Linked DNA regions of Pelodiscus sinensis. The protein of the gene in region 1 binds, or shares a complex with, the protein of each later gene. Links are inferred from orthologs where the notes say so. Each region holds a gene or a part of one and is shown on either strand. Other genes may lie near its edges.

Evidence for each region. The genes of interacting proteins can lie anywhere in the genome.
Region 2: TRMT112 (region 1) and TRMT11 share a complex: the UniProt entries of both Homo sapiens proteins name them as parts of the heterodimeric TRMT11-TRM112 methyltransferase complex. The link is inferred for Pelodiscus sinensis from reciprocal best matches to the Homo sapiens genes TRMT112 and TRMT11.

The regions. Positions count from the first base shown.
Region 1 is NC_134721.1:33,162,297-33,169,250, forward strand, and holds TRMT112 (multifunctional methyltransferase subunit TRM112-like protein), read left to right. Parts: upstream 1-4,852; 5' UTR 4,853-4,959; coding exon 4,960-5,040; intron 5,041-5,152; coding exon 5,153-5,254; intron 5,255-5,477; coding exon 5,478-5,570; intron 5,571-6,184; coding exon 6,185-6,286; 3' UTR 6,287-6,447; downstream 6,448-6,954. Other genes in the region: PRDX5 (peroxiredoxin-5, mitochondrial), read right to left, coding at 449-513, 967-1,005, 1,846-1,977, 2,410-2,544, 4,257-4,271. UniProt on the Homo sapiens protein: Acts as an activator of both rRNA/tRNA and protein methyltransferases. Together with methyltransferase BUD23, methylates the N(7) position of a guanine in 18S rRNA.
Region 2 is NC_134713.1:89,807,040-89,814,930, forward strand, and holds the start of TRMT11 (tRNA (guanine(10)-N(2))-methyltransferase TRMT11), read left to right. Parts: upstream 1-4,878; 5' UTR 4,879-4,901; coding exon 4,902-4,970; intron 4,971-5,046; exon of another isoform or gene 5,047-5,333; coding exon of another isoform or gene 5,334-5,345; intron 5,346-7,891. UniProt on the Homo sapiens protein: Catalytic subunit of the TRMT11-TRM112 methyltransferase complex, that specifically mediates the S-adenosyl-L-methionine-dependent N(2)-methylation of guanosine nucleotide at position 10 (m2G10) in tRNAs.

The sequences.
Region 1 (6,954 bases):
TGGGGGGCGGGGGGTAAATGCCAGGGCCCCCTCCCCTCATGCCATGCTCCACCATAGAAAACCTGGGATGTGTCTGCAAGATAACACAATTGCCTCCCCTCCACAGTGATTCCCCCCTTTCTTCCCTCCAGGACTCCCCAACTCCTACCACCATAGAGAACCCAGGGGGAGACTGGGGAGTTCAATGTGGGAACACAGCCAGGGCTCCCTCCCACATCCTGGAGAAGCGAGAGCTGAGAATACTGTCAGCTTTTCCTCCCCATGCAGATGGAGAGGAGAGAGGAGGTCTCAATTTCCTTCCCCTTCCCTCCATACCATCCCCGGAGGCAAAGGGGACACCCAGAGGCTCACAGTGGCAGCTGCAGGTCCCCTTACAGACAGGAAACCCCCAGCTCTCCCCGAGGGGTATCCCAGAGGCTGCAGCAGGGTAGGGAGCACACTGCTTTACCTTTTGCAGCGGTTGGTCCCAAAGAGATCACGCAGAGTCTCCTTGTCCAGCAGCAGCTCTGTAGCCTAGGGGAGAAAGAGAGTGCAAGGGATGGAATCAGACAGAGCCTAGACACTGCCCCTCACAAGGCCTGTGGGGCTGCCTGGTCTCCAGACGTCCTCTGACCACAACTCTGTTGGTGTCAGGGAGATGGCATTTGGAGGCAGAACCCCGGAGGCCTCTAATGAAGGATGGGGTTCCATAGTCCCTTTCCCCACAGTCCCAGAGCAGGAACACCCCCCACTTGGAGCAGGGGCTGGATCTGAGGACAAGGGGAGGAGCAGAGGTCAAGACAGGACAGGCAAATGGTGGTGTGGGAAAGAGAATTAGCCTGAATCTGGGCTGTGGTGCTGGTTAGGGGGGAAAAGGGTCAGAGAGAGGCATACAGATGAGGGGAGGGAGGGGGAGGAAATGGGAACTAATCCTGAAGAATGATGCCACCAGCTGGCACATGGAGGCATGGATTGGGAGGATGTTACCTTTCCAAAGGCTCCTGTGGGGTCAGCAAGCATCCGCACCTGGGGGGGAAGGGAGAAAGGTTTAGGGAGCCAATGGGGAGGTGGCTGTGAGGCAGGGGCAAGGGCTAGGAGTGTCAAGTGCTACACCCAATCCTGGAATTACACAATCTACAGGCCCTTGCACAACCAACAACTCCTGCCAGGAAGGGAAGTGCTCCTGGTAGCCTGGATGAGTCACCCAGGGGTGGGGTAGGGCTCATGCAGCCTTGGGGTTAGGTAACATCTGGATGAGGGAGAAGAGACTCCTCCTCTGCCCCTTGAGACTCAACACCATACACCCCCTATAAAGACACTGCTCTGGGCCTTGACCCCTGCTCACTCCCCCTGCCCAGGAACCCCTAGTCCCACCAACCTCGCTCCCCTTGCTATGGCCCTGGTACACTGCACATTCCCTTTGGCTGGTGTCCTCACCAGCCCTCCGCTCCTCCAGGCTTTGGCATTGCGGCCCTCTCATCCTGGGTGCCATAGCTCAACTTCCACACTCACTCCTGCCTTGCCCCCCTTCATTTCCCTTGCCTTGGGCCCATGGGCCTTGTCCCCATCCCTCCTGCCCCTGCCCTTGCCCTGAGCTCCATGGGCCTTGTCCCCATTTACCCCTCCCACCTTGGCCTGAGCCCTCAGGGCCTTGCCCCCATGCCCCACCTTTCTCTGAGCCTTGTGGGCCTTGCTCCCGCTTTACCTTTCACTTGCCCTGAGCCTCATGGGCCTTGCCCTTACTTCTCCCCTCCCCCCCTTGCCCCCCCGACACACACACAACTTGCCCTGAGCCCCCTGGGCCTTGTCCCCATTTCTCCCTCCCACCTTGCCCTGAGCCTTGTGGGCCTTGCCCCCACTTCTCACCTTGCCCTGAGCCCCGTGGGCCTTGCCCCACTCACTCATGACAAAGACATCATTCACAGCCAGGCAGGCAATCAAGTCCATGCCCTTGGCCTTTAGTGCTCCGGCCTGCTCCACATAGCCTGGCAGGTGGGTCTGAGGAGAGCAAGAAGAGCATTAGTTTCCCAGCATGAGAGCAGAGTGGGGGGAGCATTAGACATCAGCCCAAGGAACCTCCTTCACCCAGCATGTCCCTCAGCACCCAGGGAGGGTGCTGGACAGGATATACTGAGCTCATATATGTGTCCCTTTCTCAGCGCATCCTGTGAATCCCTTCACTCCAGGGATGGGCTTGGGAGGAGGGGTGCTCTGGTGGATGAGTTCTGAGGAACTGGATGGGAATGGGGATACTCTGAGGAGTGCTTGAAGGCACCTTGGGATGGGGGCTTTTAGGGAGCAGGGAGCGGAGTCTAGGATAGGGATTACAAAGGGTGAGTGGGGGTGCTCTAGAGTCGGTGTGTATTCTAAAATGGGTAAGGTAGTGGGGGGGGGGGAGACAGGGAACTGCGGGGGGTCTCCAAACCTCACCTTGGAGCAGCCAGGGGTGAAGGCACCAGGCACCCCAAAGAGAATCCCCTTCTTGCCCTTGAAAAGTGCTGCCACATCCACTTTGGTATCAGGGTCTCCCTCGTACACCTCCACACTGGGCAACTTGTCTCCAACCTGGAGGACACAGAGGATGAGAGCTGGGGGAAGCCTTGCCATGTCTCCTTCCACCCCACCACTCAGGGCAAACATCTTCCCACTCCAGTGCAGGGGGTAGGAGCTACCCACACTCAGGAATTCCAACTAGGAGCCTGTTCCTCTAGCCCCAGCTATAACCCTCCCACCTCTGTCCCAGCACCAACAGGGCATGACTAGAACAGATGCAGATGTGGACCCTATGCAGCTGAGGACCAAGGGGGGGTGGGGTCTCCCTTCCCATCCAGCCAGCTTCCTGTCTCAGAAGCTGCCCCCCAGGCCTGGAAAGACACCCCTCCAGCAGAAGCACAAAGCCTATGATGAGCTTCCCCTTGGCATAGGGAGAGCCCCATGTGCACCCCTCAGTTGTGTCTATGTGCAAGGGTGCTGTCACAACAATCCAGGGCAGGGAGCAGGGTAGAGACTCAGTGACTCAGCACCTCTGCCTTGGAGTTTCCAAACAGATTACTCAAGCTCATAAGTTAGACACCTCCCCCAGTTCCCTGTCCCTCATACCCACCCAAAACCTTCTGGATTGCCATGTGTACTTCCCTTTAGAGATGTAATAGTATAACTGTTTGAACAGTTACGTGATAAGTCTGGGCTTATTAGTTACCATCAACAGTTACACACAAGCTCCCAGCCCTGCTCCCAGGGAGCCAGCTGCCCCCCCATGCTGTGGGCTCTATATCAAGAGCCTGCAGCACAGGGCAGCAATGAGCTGCCTGGGAGCAAGGCTGAGAGCCACACACTGGCTCCCAAGGAGCTGGCTGCTGCTGCCCCTCCGGCAGAAGGGCTGTAGGCGGAGCTGGTGCGAGCCTGGAGCCAGCTGAGAATTTTCAGTGGTTACAGTTGCTTAATTAACTGTTTTTAAACAGCCCTATTCCCTTTCACATCCAATAACCCTCCCACCTCAGCCTGCTCATCATCCCCCCACAATCCCAACCAACCTCCACGTCCCCCACTATCCCTTACAATCAACCCACCATCTTCAGCTCACACCTACCCTTCCCCCAGCCTCTACCCTGTTTTCCCTCTTGCACAATCCAGCTCCCTCTGCAGGCATGTATGAGGGTGGGGGGAGGAGGTAGAGAGGCGGGGAGGTTTGTGCGAATGGTGCAAAAGCACCCCCCAAGTGAGCATGCTCCAGCCAGCCAGGGGAAGGCTGGGGCTGATTTCCCACTTACTTGGGGGAGCCATGGGGGATGCATTCACACCTTTGTGGTGCACATTTACAAAAAGGCACCCACACCCACAGAAATTCCTGCATATGGGCCTGCTCCGACCCCAAGCTCCCCCCACTCCTGCCTCCCATTTCACCCCATAACCGAGCTCCCCTTCTCTGCAGCCTAACCCCTCCCCCATTTTCCCCTTCTCCATCCTGCCTTTCATTCACCCCCCACCAGTCCTTTCTACTCCCAACTTCTCCCTGCCCCCTAGATCTGGAGGGTGTGGGGCGCTCGGGGCCCCCTTGTTAGGCAAGAGCCCTGGGGGCACGGACACAGGTTCTAAGGATCCCGAGGCCAGGCTGGCGAGGGGGAGCCCTGATTCGGGAGGGGTGGCTCCGCTCGGGGCCCCGGTTCTCTGGCGGGGGCCCCGGCCGGCGGCTGATTTAAGGGGAGCCCAGACAGGGGCGGGGCAGGTTGGAGGGTTGAGGGCCCGGTGGCCCCTCTCACCGCCCCGCCCGCTCTCACCTTGACGGGCGCCATGACAGCCGCTGGGCTCGGCAGCTCCGGATCCTCTGGGCTCGGCGCCGGGGGCCCAGCCTGCAGCAGCCCCCGCCACACCCCTCAACACAGTCACCATGGAGACCGCCTGAATGACAGTTGCCAAGGAAACGGCCGGGGGGGGCTGCCACCTTCAGGGTGGAATGGAATGCCCATGCGCCGCAACCCACAAGTCTGTGTTTGCATAACATTTGCATATCATAGGTGGCTCATTTGCATGACAAGTTTGTACAGTGTTTTTTACACAGATTGATTTTGATTGGTAGCGCGGCATTAATTTGCATACAATTAACACAAGCTTTGTGATTCATGGCTGCTTTTCTTCTATCTTGTGCATATACTTAAATCAAAACTGCATGTAATTTGAATATTATTTGCATACATCAATCCCTTTGTTTCCAGTCCAATTCTTCTCTCTTCCCCTTTGGGACGAGAGGCCCAGTGGAGTAGCCGGGATCCCTCGGGGTGGCGCTCTATCTCCGCATCTCTCCGGAACCCTCAGCTCGGGCCCCGTGTTTCCCTTCCAGCCGCCGGATCCTTTTGAGTAAGGGACATTCCAGTCGGAAGCAGCGTTTGTGCGGGGGGGGGGTGCGAATTGAACCGGAAGTAGCCAAGTTTTGGCTTCCCACGTGAGTACGCGAGCGGCGCCCTGCGCGGGAGCGGCGCGAGGATGAAGCTGCTGACGCACAACATGCTGACCTCGCATGTGCGGGGCGTGCGGCCCGGGGGCGGCTTCCCCCTCCGTATCCAGGTAACAGGATCCTCCAGCAACCAGGGGCCCACGTCTGCCTGGGCTGATTTCCTCCCCCCATAGGCCTGATGGGGCCCCGGCTGCGCCTCATTGGCTCTTCCGCTCCCCGCAGGCCACCGAGGTGAAAGTGAGTAACGTGGACTTCAACCAGGAGTTCGTGGCACGGATGATCCCCAAGGTGGAGTGGGGGGCCCTGGTGGAGGCTGCTGAGAGCGTGAGTACGGGGGAGGGGCTAGCCCGTTCAGGGCATGGGTGGGAGGAGCTTGGCAGGGGGAGGAGCTCACTCTGGGCGCTATCATGGCAGATAGGCAGCATGGATCTGCACTGCAGCCTTTGGGGGGATTGGAGAGAAGTGGTTTTGGGAAGCATCTGAGTCGATAAGAGCAAACCCTCTCTTCTGGTGCAGCACTGTGACATGGATCTTCCTCCTCCTACAGCTGGGCCACCTGTCAGACCTGCCTCCCCAGCTGCCTCCTGAGTATGAGAACAATGAAGACTTCCTGAAGAAGGTGCATCATGTGCTGCTGGAGGTGAGATTCTTCTCCACAATCCTTGTCCACAACCCCCCACCAGCATCCTGTGTGGTGCAGGGCCCTGGCTCCCAGGCACCACAAAAACCCTGGCTAAGGTTGTATGACAGGGGCCTATGATACAAACACAGATCCTTTCCTGGTCTGGCTGAGACACCGGGGAGTTATCCACCCATAGAGACACTAGGGCTCCCTGGAATCCTCCAGCGTGGGGGACCTCTTTCAGTTGTTGCTCTTGTTCTAAATGTAAGCCCAGGGGACCCACTCACAGTGAGAGTATGTTGATAGTGCAGCGCATTCTCCCACTGCTCTAGCTGTGTGTTGAAATCCACTCTCATGGGTTCTGGCAGTTCAGCAGACACTCTAGCACTTGGATTATATGATCCTTTGGCTTTTGCAGAGCATCCTGCCCCCTCCCCAACTGCTAAGAATCATGAGGTGGTTAGGGAGTTGTGACTTCAGCAAAACACCTCTAATCTCAAACATTTGAGAGGGGAAAACTGGTGTTCTGGGGAAGTTCCAGCTCTCCCTTACAGCATTTCAGGTCTGGATTGGGTAGAGCCAGGGCACAGGCTGTCCACTGTAGCTGACCCGTGATTATTCCTCACACACAGGTGGAGGTGATGGAAGGTGTACTGAAGTGCCCTGATTCTGGCCGGGAGTTCCCCATCACCAAGGGCATCCCCAACATGCTGCTAAGTGAGGAGGAGACGTGAAGGGCCTGGGTGTCCAAGACGGAAAGATGGGGTAGGGGAGCTCCCTGAGGTGGGAGGGAGAGTCCTGTATGATGTAGAAGACAGTCTTTGCTTGTTTGGTTTGTGTATAAATAAAACTATGAGGTGGAGCCTGGCCTAGGGCATATCATCTATTAATTGTCCCTCCTCCCCTGCTGTGTCGCTCAGTCCTAACCTGCAGCTCTCAGCTATCCCAGCCCTGGGCTTCCTCCCACCCACTGTTGTGCTGGCGACTTTCTGTTCTAGTACCATCTCCATGCTTAGTCCTGGGTCTGTCCGAGCATTGACCTACCCCACACCTTGCACCGAACTCTCTGTTCCTCTTGGATAGTTATTTGGTTTGCAGTGGTACCTAGGAGTCCTAGACCTGAAACAGATCCCCCAGTGGAGTGGGCACTGCTCAGATACCCAGTCAAGAGCAAGGCCTCTAGTGGGCTAGGTGCTGCACAAACACAGAACAAGACAAAGATCCTGCTCCTTCTTAACTGCTAGGAAGGAAGACTGGACACAGACTGATATCTCCATGGTTTATTCTGGCTCTGGAATATAGCTCTATGTATGTGTGTGTATAGCACCTATACACAAAATAGAGGTATTTATAATATATACACATACATAATTTAATACAAACGCCCTCCATGTCACCCCAC
Region 2 (7,891 bases), on another chromosome or scaffold:
AATGCATCAGAGGATGTTCTGTGTGTTCTCCTATGATTTAAAATGTCATGTCTGTTTGTCCATGAGCAGACTGCAGTGCTGCTTCCAGTGAACTCCAATATAGATATTTTCCATTAATAATAAATAGCATTTCTAAATTGTTTCAGTCCATTGTACATTTCAATGCCAATTATGATGAATTTATGCTCACAATGAAGTAATTCTGGGTGAAAAAAGAATGACGTCACTAAAGTGTTTTATGTATGAATGGTTCTGGAATTATGCAGGAGGATTTCTTTTTAAAATGACACAATGGTTATGAAATATCATTTAGAAAAAACAACAGCGTGAGTTCAATCATTGTTCATGAGAAGCATTTTGAAGATTTCTCTCACCCTCATTCAAACTTGTGATCATTATAAGATCTCATGGCACTTGTTATAAGAGACAGGGTGTTAACTCCAGTGCACTAGTCAAATTCCAATTTGGGTAATTACATATTGGTTACCTAAAATTACCCTGTAGGCAAAAACAAGAGGGATTGTTCTTCATTTCCCTTCCTAAAATCAATTATGAAATGTTATTGGTGTGGCTGTCATAGTCCATCTTCAAAATGACTACTTTTCAGTAGTACCATAGGAAAATAGTATCATATAAAATACAATGTGGGAATTTGTTTGGATTCTTTCAGGATCAAACATTCTGTATAAATATTTGCTATTAGACATGCTCTCAAAAGCAGAGTTGAGTAATATTCATTACAAAGACTCAACTTATGCTTTTGTTTGATGTCAACAATGACAATATGAAAACAAAGTTTTATATGTTAATACTAACGTGTATCTGTGTGCACATGTGCATGCAGTTCATTCATGTATTAAAATACAAAAATATAAAAGCTTATCCAGTGCTGTTTGTGACATGTTTAACATTTTAAATCTGAAGAAGTGGGCTGCGCCCACGAAAGCTTATGATACCATCTACATGTTTTGTTAGTCTATAAAGTGCTATCAGACCATTTGCTTGCTGTTTTTTTTCCCTGTAAACAGAAAACAACATATTCCGTAAGATGAGAAGCACATGAAGAGAAAATCATCTCTCCAAAAAGCTTAATTTTAAATAATGGATCAGATAACTCCTACTTACAAAATACCAGGGTAGAAACTAAATGGTTTAAAAAATCTCAAATGGGTCAGATTGGAAAAATAAAAGGTTACCTTCTGCTCAGTCTCTTCCTGCAATTCTAAACTGTTGTCAGTAACCCTGGACTAGCTGGAGACAGGGCCGGACTGAGCCATTCCAGCGCCCTGGGTTGGGGGAGGGCGCATGAGTGGCTCCGCCCCCACGCTGGCACGTGGAGGACAACACATGCGCAGCCCCACCCCCGCGCTGGCATGTGGGGAAGGGCGCATGCACAGCCCGGCCCCCACCCAGCGTATGGGGGAGGGCACGCGGAGCTGGCGGTGGCAGGACGCACATGCCCGGCCTGACCCAGCCCGGCTTCTGCCGCTGGCACGCAGCCCAGGGCCGCCCAGGGCGGGCCGAGTCTGGCCGTGCAGGGCCCCACGGCCGCGGCGGGAAGGGCGCTGCTGGCCGGTGCTGCGGGGGTTAACGTGGCTCCCACCGCGGGCGGCTGCTGCAGGGTGGCCACTGGGAGCTGCTGCAGCCCGCGATCCGGGAACCGGGCATGCGGCGCCTGATGGCAGCTATAAGGGGTGCTGTGCACTCCTTACAGCTGCCATCAGGTGCCCCCATAGGTTGGAACCCCAGGCAGCTGCCCGGCTAGCCCATGCCTTAATCCGGCCCTGGCTGGAGATTTCTGCTTAAATCATTAGCAGGGAAAGTTAGTAACATTGACAAACAATATGTCAAAAATTAGGTTTCAGCATTAAGATATTGAAACAAAGATGTGCTGATATCCAGGGCTTGCCGAACCACAGTGAGCCCCACTCGCCAGCTGCGCTGTCTAGCAATCTGTGCATGTGTAGCTCGTTCTGTGCATGCGCAGATCTCCCAAACCCAGCTCTTCCGGGTTGCAATCTACTCGCCAGGAGCATGCAGATTCCATTATTTGTCGAGCCCTGCTGATCTCTCTCAAAGCTGTTCTGTCCGTAGACTTAGTTCAAGTTTAAAATTATTTTGAGTATATAAGGGCTAGATTTTTTAAAGTAAAAGTTTAAATACTGCAGAAAACAAGGTAACTATTTAAGTTCTACTGTAGTGTCAGCCAGCACCAGCTCTTTCCAACTCCTGAACACAAATATATAAGGAATGCAGTCCATAGAGTACTTAGAAGTCACGAGCAAGTTCTTAAAATCTACAAGAAAAGCTATCATATGACCAAAAAAAGCTGCAAAATAGGAGTTGTGTGGAAATGGCCTAGTACTAATAAAAGGCTTAGTGAAATCTGGATAAGCTAAACCTTTCGGTGACCAAATAGAGACCCCAGACAGTAGGAATATAATCACTTCTACACGTTGGCGGCGGCGGCGGGGGGGGGGGGGGGGAATTAACCCAAAACACAGGAGAAAAAAATCTTTAAGAAAAAGAGAAAGAAAGTCTGCCTTTTTTTGTCCAAGGGGCCTTCATGTCTGTCACAATCCTGAGTTTCTCTCCATTTTTCCCATCACAGTTCACTTCTCACCCTCACAACTTTATGTAATAGCTACTGTCCTCTTTTGTACAGAAAAATGAATGCAACTCTCTTCATAAAAACTGTCAATGCTATTTAGTTAATCTTTCAGACAGAATCTAGATTGTGCCATTCCTTAGTCAGCGGGAGGGTGTCAATGGTTAGCAACATGAGGTATTCTTGCTAGGGATTTTAGCTAATGGGTAATAAAATAGTCAACTACCTGCATGAATTCTTAGTGGTTAGTTGACTATTCTATAGTCCCCAGGGGCAGGATCAGCAGCCAGTGTGCTCTGGCCCCGCTCCTGGGGAGCCCCTGCCAACCTGCACTGCTGCCTATATCAGAATGCCAGCTGGGAGCCGGGCCATGGGAGAGCCATTTTAAAAACCAGCTCTCCTTGTGGATTGGCTGCCTGCCACCCTGCACTGCTGCCTCTGATACAAGCTCCCTGCAGACAGAGTCTGCTGGTGGGAGCTTGCACCCGCTGTGGACAGGGGCTGCTGCTGCAAAGCAGCCTCTGCCCGTAGTGAGCCCAGGCTCGCCACAGACAGAGACTGCTTCATGGCAGCCTCCCCGGCCCTCCTCCCCTCCCCTGTGCTGCTGCTTCTAATAAAAGACAGCAGGGGGTGGCACAGGCAGCAACACAGAGCCCACTGCTGAGGGAGCAACTTTTAAGCCAGCTCCCCCTAGCACTGGCTTCTGGTCTCCCCCTTGCTGTCTCTGTATAAACCTAGGGTTATCAGTTAACTGTATACCTGACTACTCATTCAAATCCCTAATTCTTGTCCATCAGAGGGGAAAGCCCAGCCCTCAAGAGCATTTCCAACCTCTAAGGTAGTATTATATTGTAACATTTGTATGTCACATCAATGAAGTGTGAGGAGCTGTACAAAGCATTTGAAAACTGTCCCTTCCACACTGAGTTTAAGATTTATTTTTACTAGAATATTTTTACAACTAAGTTCTACCATTGCTTGTAAGGCATTGTTAGCAATAATGGGAGCTCAGTTGGAGCATATGAACCTACTCCCTGCAAGTCTAATTATCTAGTGCTGAAAACAGCTGTCAGAATCAGAAAGCTACATAAATGCATGAAAAGTTTTTGTAACAATTCCTGAACTGCTAGAATACTGCCTATATAGCACAAATGCTGCCAACATGATCTTGCTTCTAACTGGTTCTCTCACTTTTTTTTGGGGTGGAGCAAAACTGGAGTGGAGAATAAATATACATGTAATGAACATGGTCCCTACTTCATTACAGAGTATTTTACCAAACAATAGATAGTGGTAGTGAAACAATTACTTTGGTGAGCTTAGCACAAGAACTCAAACATCATTTGGACATTGCAACCTTTTCCCCCCCTCAGATGGAGAAAGAAGGCTGTAAGCCAGGACAAGAGAGGTAACCTACATCTTTTTGAAAGCTGCAACTGGATCTTTAGGGTCTACTTGGACATCCAAACAGGAATAAAAAGATGGATTTTAGTTCCATACTTTGCCTTATACTTAGCTTGTAGACTGTCTAGGCTAGGACATGGCCTATCTTATCTCTCTGTTTGTACAATGCTGAGCACACTGGGTCATATCTGTGTCTAGGGCTCCTACATTTTACAATCCAATTACAATCTCTTTTCTGAAGCTGCCTTTCCCAGTGCTGCCTTGCAGCATCAATGTGGCAAATCCCATCCCTGGGCAGCTTCTTCATGGCACAGCATTGTGGCCCTGGGGGCATCCTGCCTTCCCTGACTACTTGCAGGCAAGAGTACTCCAAAGAACGCTCCGGCGCCGGGGTTGAACCTATGAAGCCATTATGCACAAGCTCCCCCTTCTACCCTGAACGTTCCCATTTCACCCTCATGCCAGGGCGTCAGGTTCCCGGTTTTCCCTCCTGTTACCACAGAGGGCGCAGCCCCAAACCACTCTGGGAAGTCTCCTCCCGCAGCCTCGTCCATAGCAGCCCCCGCCCCGTGCGCTGCGCTCTGCTCCTTCCCCCGCACCCCGGAAATGGACCCGCCCCGCGGCGCTTCCCTTCTCCCAGCAACGCCAGCTGCGAGGCCTCAGCCTGCCCGGGGCAGCTCCTGGGGCAACCTCCGCCAGGCTTCCGCAGCAGCCACCGCGAGCTCGTAACGGGCCAAACAAGGCCCCGCCCCTGCCCGGCCCGGCCCCGCCCCGCTTCGGCCTGCACGAGCCCCCGCCCACCCCGGCACCCCGGGCTCCGCCCCCCTCCCCGGCGGCGCATGCGGGGCTGGGCGGAGGAATACTGGCAGGCGGGGGCGGTGCTGGTACCATGGCGCGCGGGCCGCTGTCGCGCTACCTGCTGCTGCTAGCGCAGGAGAACCTGGAGTTCCGGCTGCCGGTAAGAGCAGGGGGCGGGGCAGCCTCTGCTGGGCACGTGCCGCCTTCGGGGCAGGAGCTGGTGGGGGAGGGGCGCTTCTCCAGTGCAGCCTCGTGGGGGCTTGTGCGAACCTCAACCCTGGTCCGCTCCCGCCTTCGCCGCTCGCGGGGGCGGCTGCTGCCGCGAGCCTGGCTGGGGCCTGGGCCAGTCCTGTCCTAGCCTGGCATCGAGCTGGCTCCTGTGGGAGCTACAGGCTCGCTCGTCTCCTCTGTAGGTGGGTTAGGAGCGAGGCAAGCGGGTGCCACCCGGGGCGCAGGTCCCGCAAAAGCCAGCAGGGAGCTATTTACAGACCGGCAGGGACCCGGGTTGCAATGGGACAGTCCCATGTTAGACATTGTAAGTTACTTTCATTGCTGGGGGAGAGGGAATTGGGTTTATTACATCTGATGACTGCAACAGGGAAGGAGGGTCCCCAAATGGCTATTTGTCCAGATGGGCAGGGGCACAAAACCTCCAATGCTCAGAGTGTCTCTAACTCTCTGGCTGCCACATACTGGTATTGATGACAGTAGCAGGATCGCTCAACATTTGCCCAGGTCTGTTCCCTCGTAAGCATGCGGCATCATCTGTTGTCGGAAGACAGGATACTGGGTTAGATGGAAAATTGGTCTGACCCAGAATGACCCTTTTTGTGTTCTAACAAAAATGGAGTATTTACAGAATTGTAGATGAACCATTTCTGTTGGGGTTTTGTCCCCAGAGGCATAACTGGTTGCAAAAGCTGTGTAAATAGCACATAGGATTGAATTATCCTGCTGAACAGTTTTTGCAGATGCTTCATTGGTGGGTTGTAGCTATTGAGTGGCTTCTTTCTGCAACACTGTTTCCTGTAAAATTTTTATGGGTAATCTGAAATTCTCTGAAGTGGAGCTTGAGGTACAAGAATGTATAGGTTTCCAAATCTCTATAATAAAACTCTAGTTTATATTGAGTCTTCTTTAGTAGGGATGTGAATGTACAGGCAGTCCCCGAGTTACGCGGATCCGACTTATGTCGGATCCACAGTTACGAACGGGGCCGTCTCCCTGGTCTCCAGCAGACCAGGGAGAGGAAGCAAAGCGGCGGAACACACGGGCAGCGAACAGCCCAGACGCGTCTGGGCTGTCCGCTGCCCGCGTGTTCCGCCGCTTTGCTCCCCGTCGCCCTGGTCTGCAGACCAGGGAGACGGTGAGCAAAGCAGAGCAAAGCCACGGAGCCCGAGGGCAGCAGGACAGCCACGGCGCGTCTGGGCTGTCCCGCTGCCCCCATGCTCCGCGGCTTTGCTCCGGACTCCTGTGGTACAGCAGCTGGGGTGCTGCCGGTTGGTCCCATAGCGCCGCTCTGGGCGCTACTGGACCAACCCGGCAGCACCCCAGCTGCTCTGCCCCAGGCGTCCCCAAGTCAGCCGCTGCTGAAACTGACCAGCAGCTGACTACAGGAAGCCCCTGCCCCGGGCTTCCTGGAATCAGACGCTGATCAGTTTCTGCAGCAGCTGACTTGGGGATGCCTGGGGTTCTTAAGTTGAATCCGTATGTAAGTCAGAACTGGTGTCCAGATTCAGCCACTGTTGAAACTGATCAGTTTCAGCAGCGGCTGAATCTGGACGCCAGTTCCGACTTACATACAGATTCAACTTAAAAACAAACCTACAGTCCCTATCTTGTACGTAACCCGGGGACTGCCTGTAATGTGTTCCTGTGAACTTGGTTAACCAGTGAGCCTGGGCTCATCCGTTAACTCTCATGGTTACATACAGTCCCCCCACTCAGCACATGCCAGCTCCTATGGAGCTCCCTCCTACAGAAACGTGTGTGTGTGTGTGTGTGTGTGTGTGTGTGTGCGCGCGCGCGCTTGCAAGGAATTGGCTTAAAAACTGGCTCCCTGCAAGCACTGGCTTCCAGAGAGCCGATTGCCCCCTGCTCCCACCAACCCCCTGCCAAAAAACTGGCTCCCCGTGATTTCTTGGCTTATTTTGCTACAGTGTGGCAAGATTCTATATGATGATAGCAGGGCTACGTGAGGTCTGAGGTTTGTGTTTCTGAATATTTTGGTTTAGTTCCTGTATTGTGGATCTGTCTCCTTTTTTCCCCACATAAAGCCATGTGTCCTTGTGAAAGCTTTTGGGCTGAGAGTCTATATGAGAGAGGATAGAGGGTCTCAGTACTAATGGTGGGTTGAATTATGTATTTGTACAGGTTAAAGCTCCCAAATCTGGGACTCTCTGGTCCAGCAACATTTGTGGTCCAGCACGGATGTTGCTGGACCAACTAGCCCAGGATTGGGAGCCAGCTGAAAGAGCCTGGGGTTTGCAAAGTCCCGGCTGGGCCAGCAGAGGCTAGGCAGGGAAATCCTGGCATCAGCAGGATCAGGTGGCATCTGGGAGCTTCACCCACACTGGGTAACCCCAGTGTCAGTGGGGTCAGGAGTCTGGAGAGCCCCTGGCAGTGAGGCCGGTGACTGCCAGGGAACCCCTTGGCAGCAGCAGGGCTGGGATGGCCAGGGAGCCCTGACTGGGAAACCCCCGGAGACAGTGGGGCCAGGCAGGAGCTCGGGAGCTCTGGCTAGGGAACCCCAGCAGTGGGCCAAGCAGCAGCCAGAGGGTCCTGGCCCCAGCAGGGGAACCTTAATTGAGGAGCCTCTGCCCTGACTGGGGAACCCTCGATGTCAGGGGGGTCAAGCGGCTGGAGAGCCTCTGGCAACAGGACCAGCGGGACCCTGGGAACCCAGGAAACTCTCGGTGGCAACGGGTCTGGGCTGCAGCTGCGGGACTGGTGGCGGCTGGGTGGCTTGGGGTTTGAAGACCCCGAGGAACCGCTGGAGGTAGAGGGGCTAGAGTGGCTAGGCGGCCCTGGCTGGGGAACCTCTGCGAGCTCCTGGCACAGTTGGCAGGGAGGGGAGCCTCG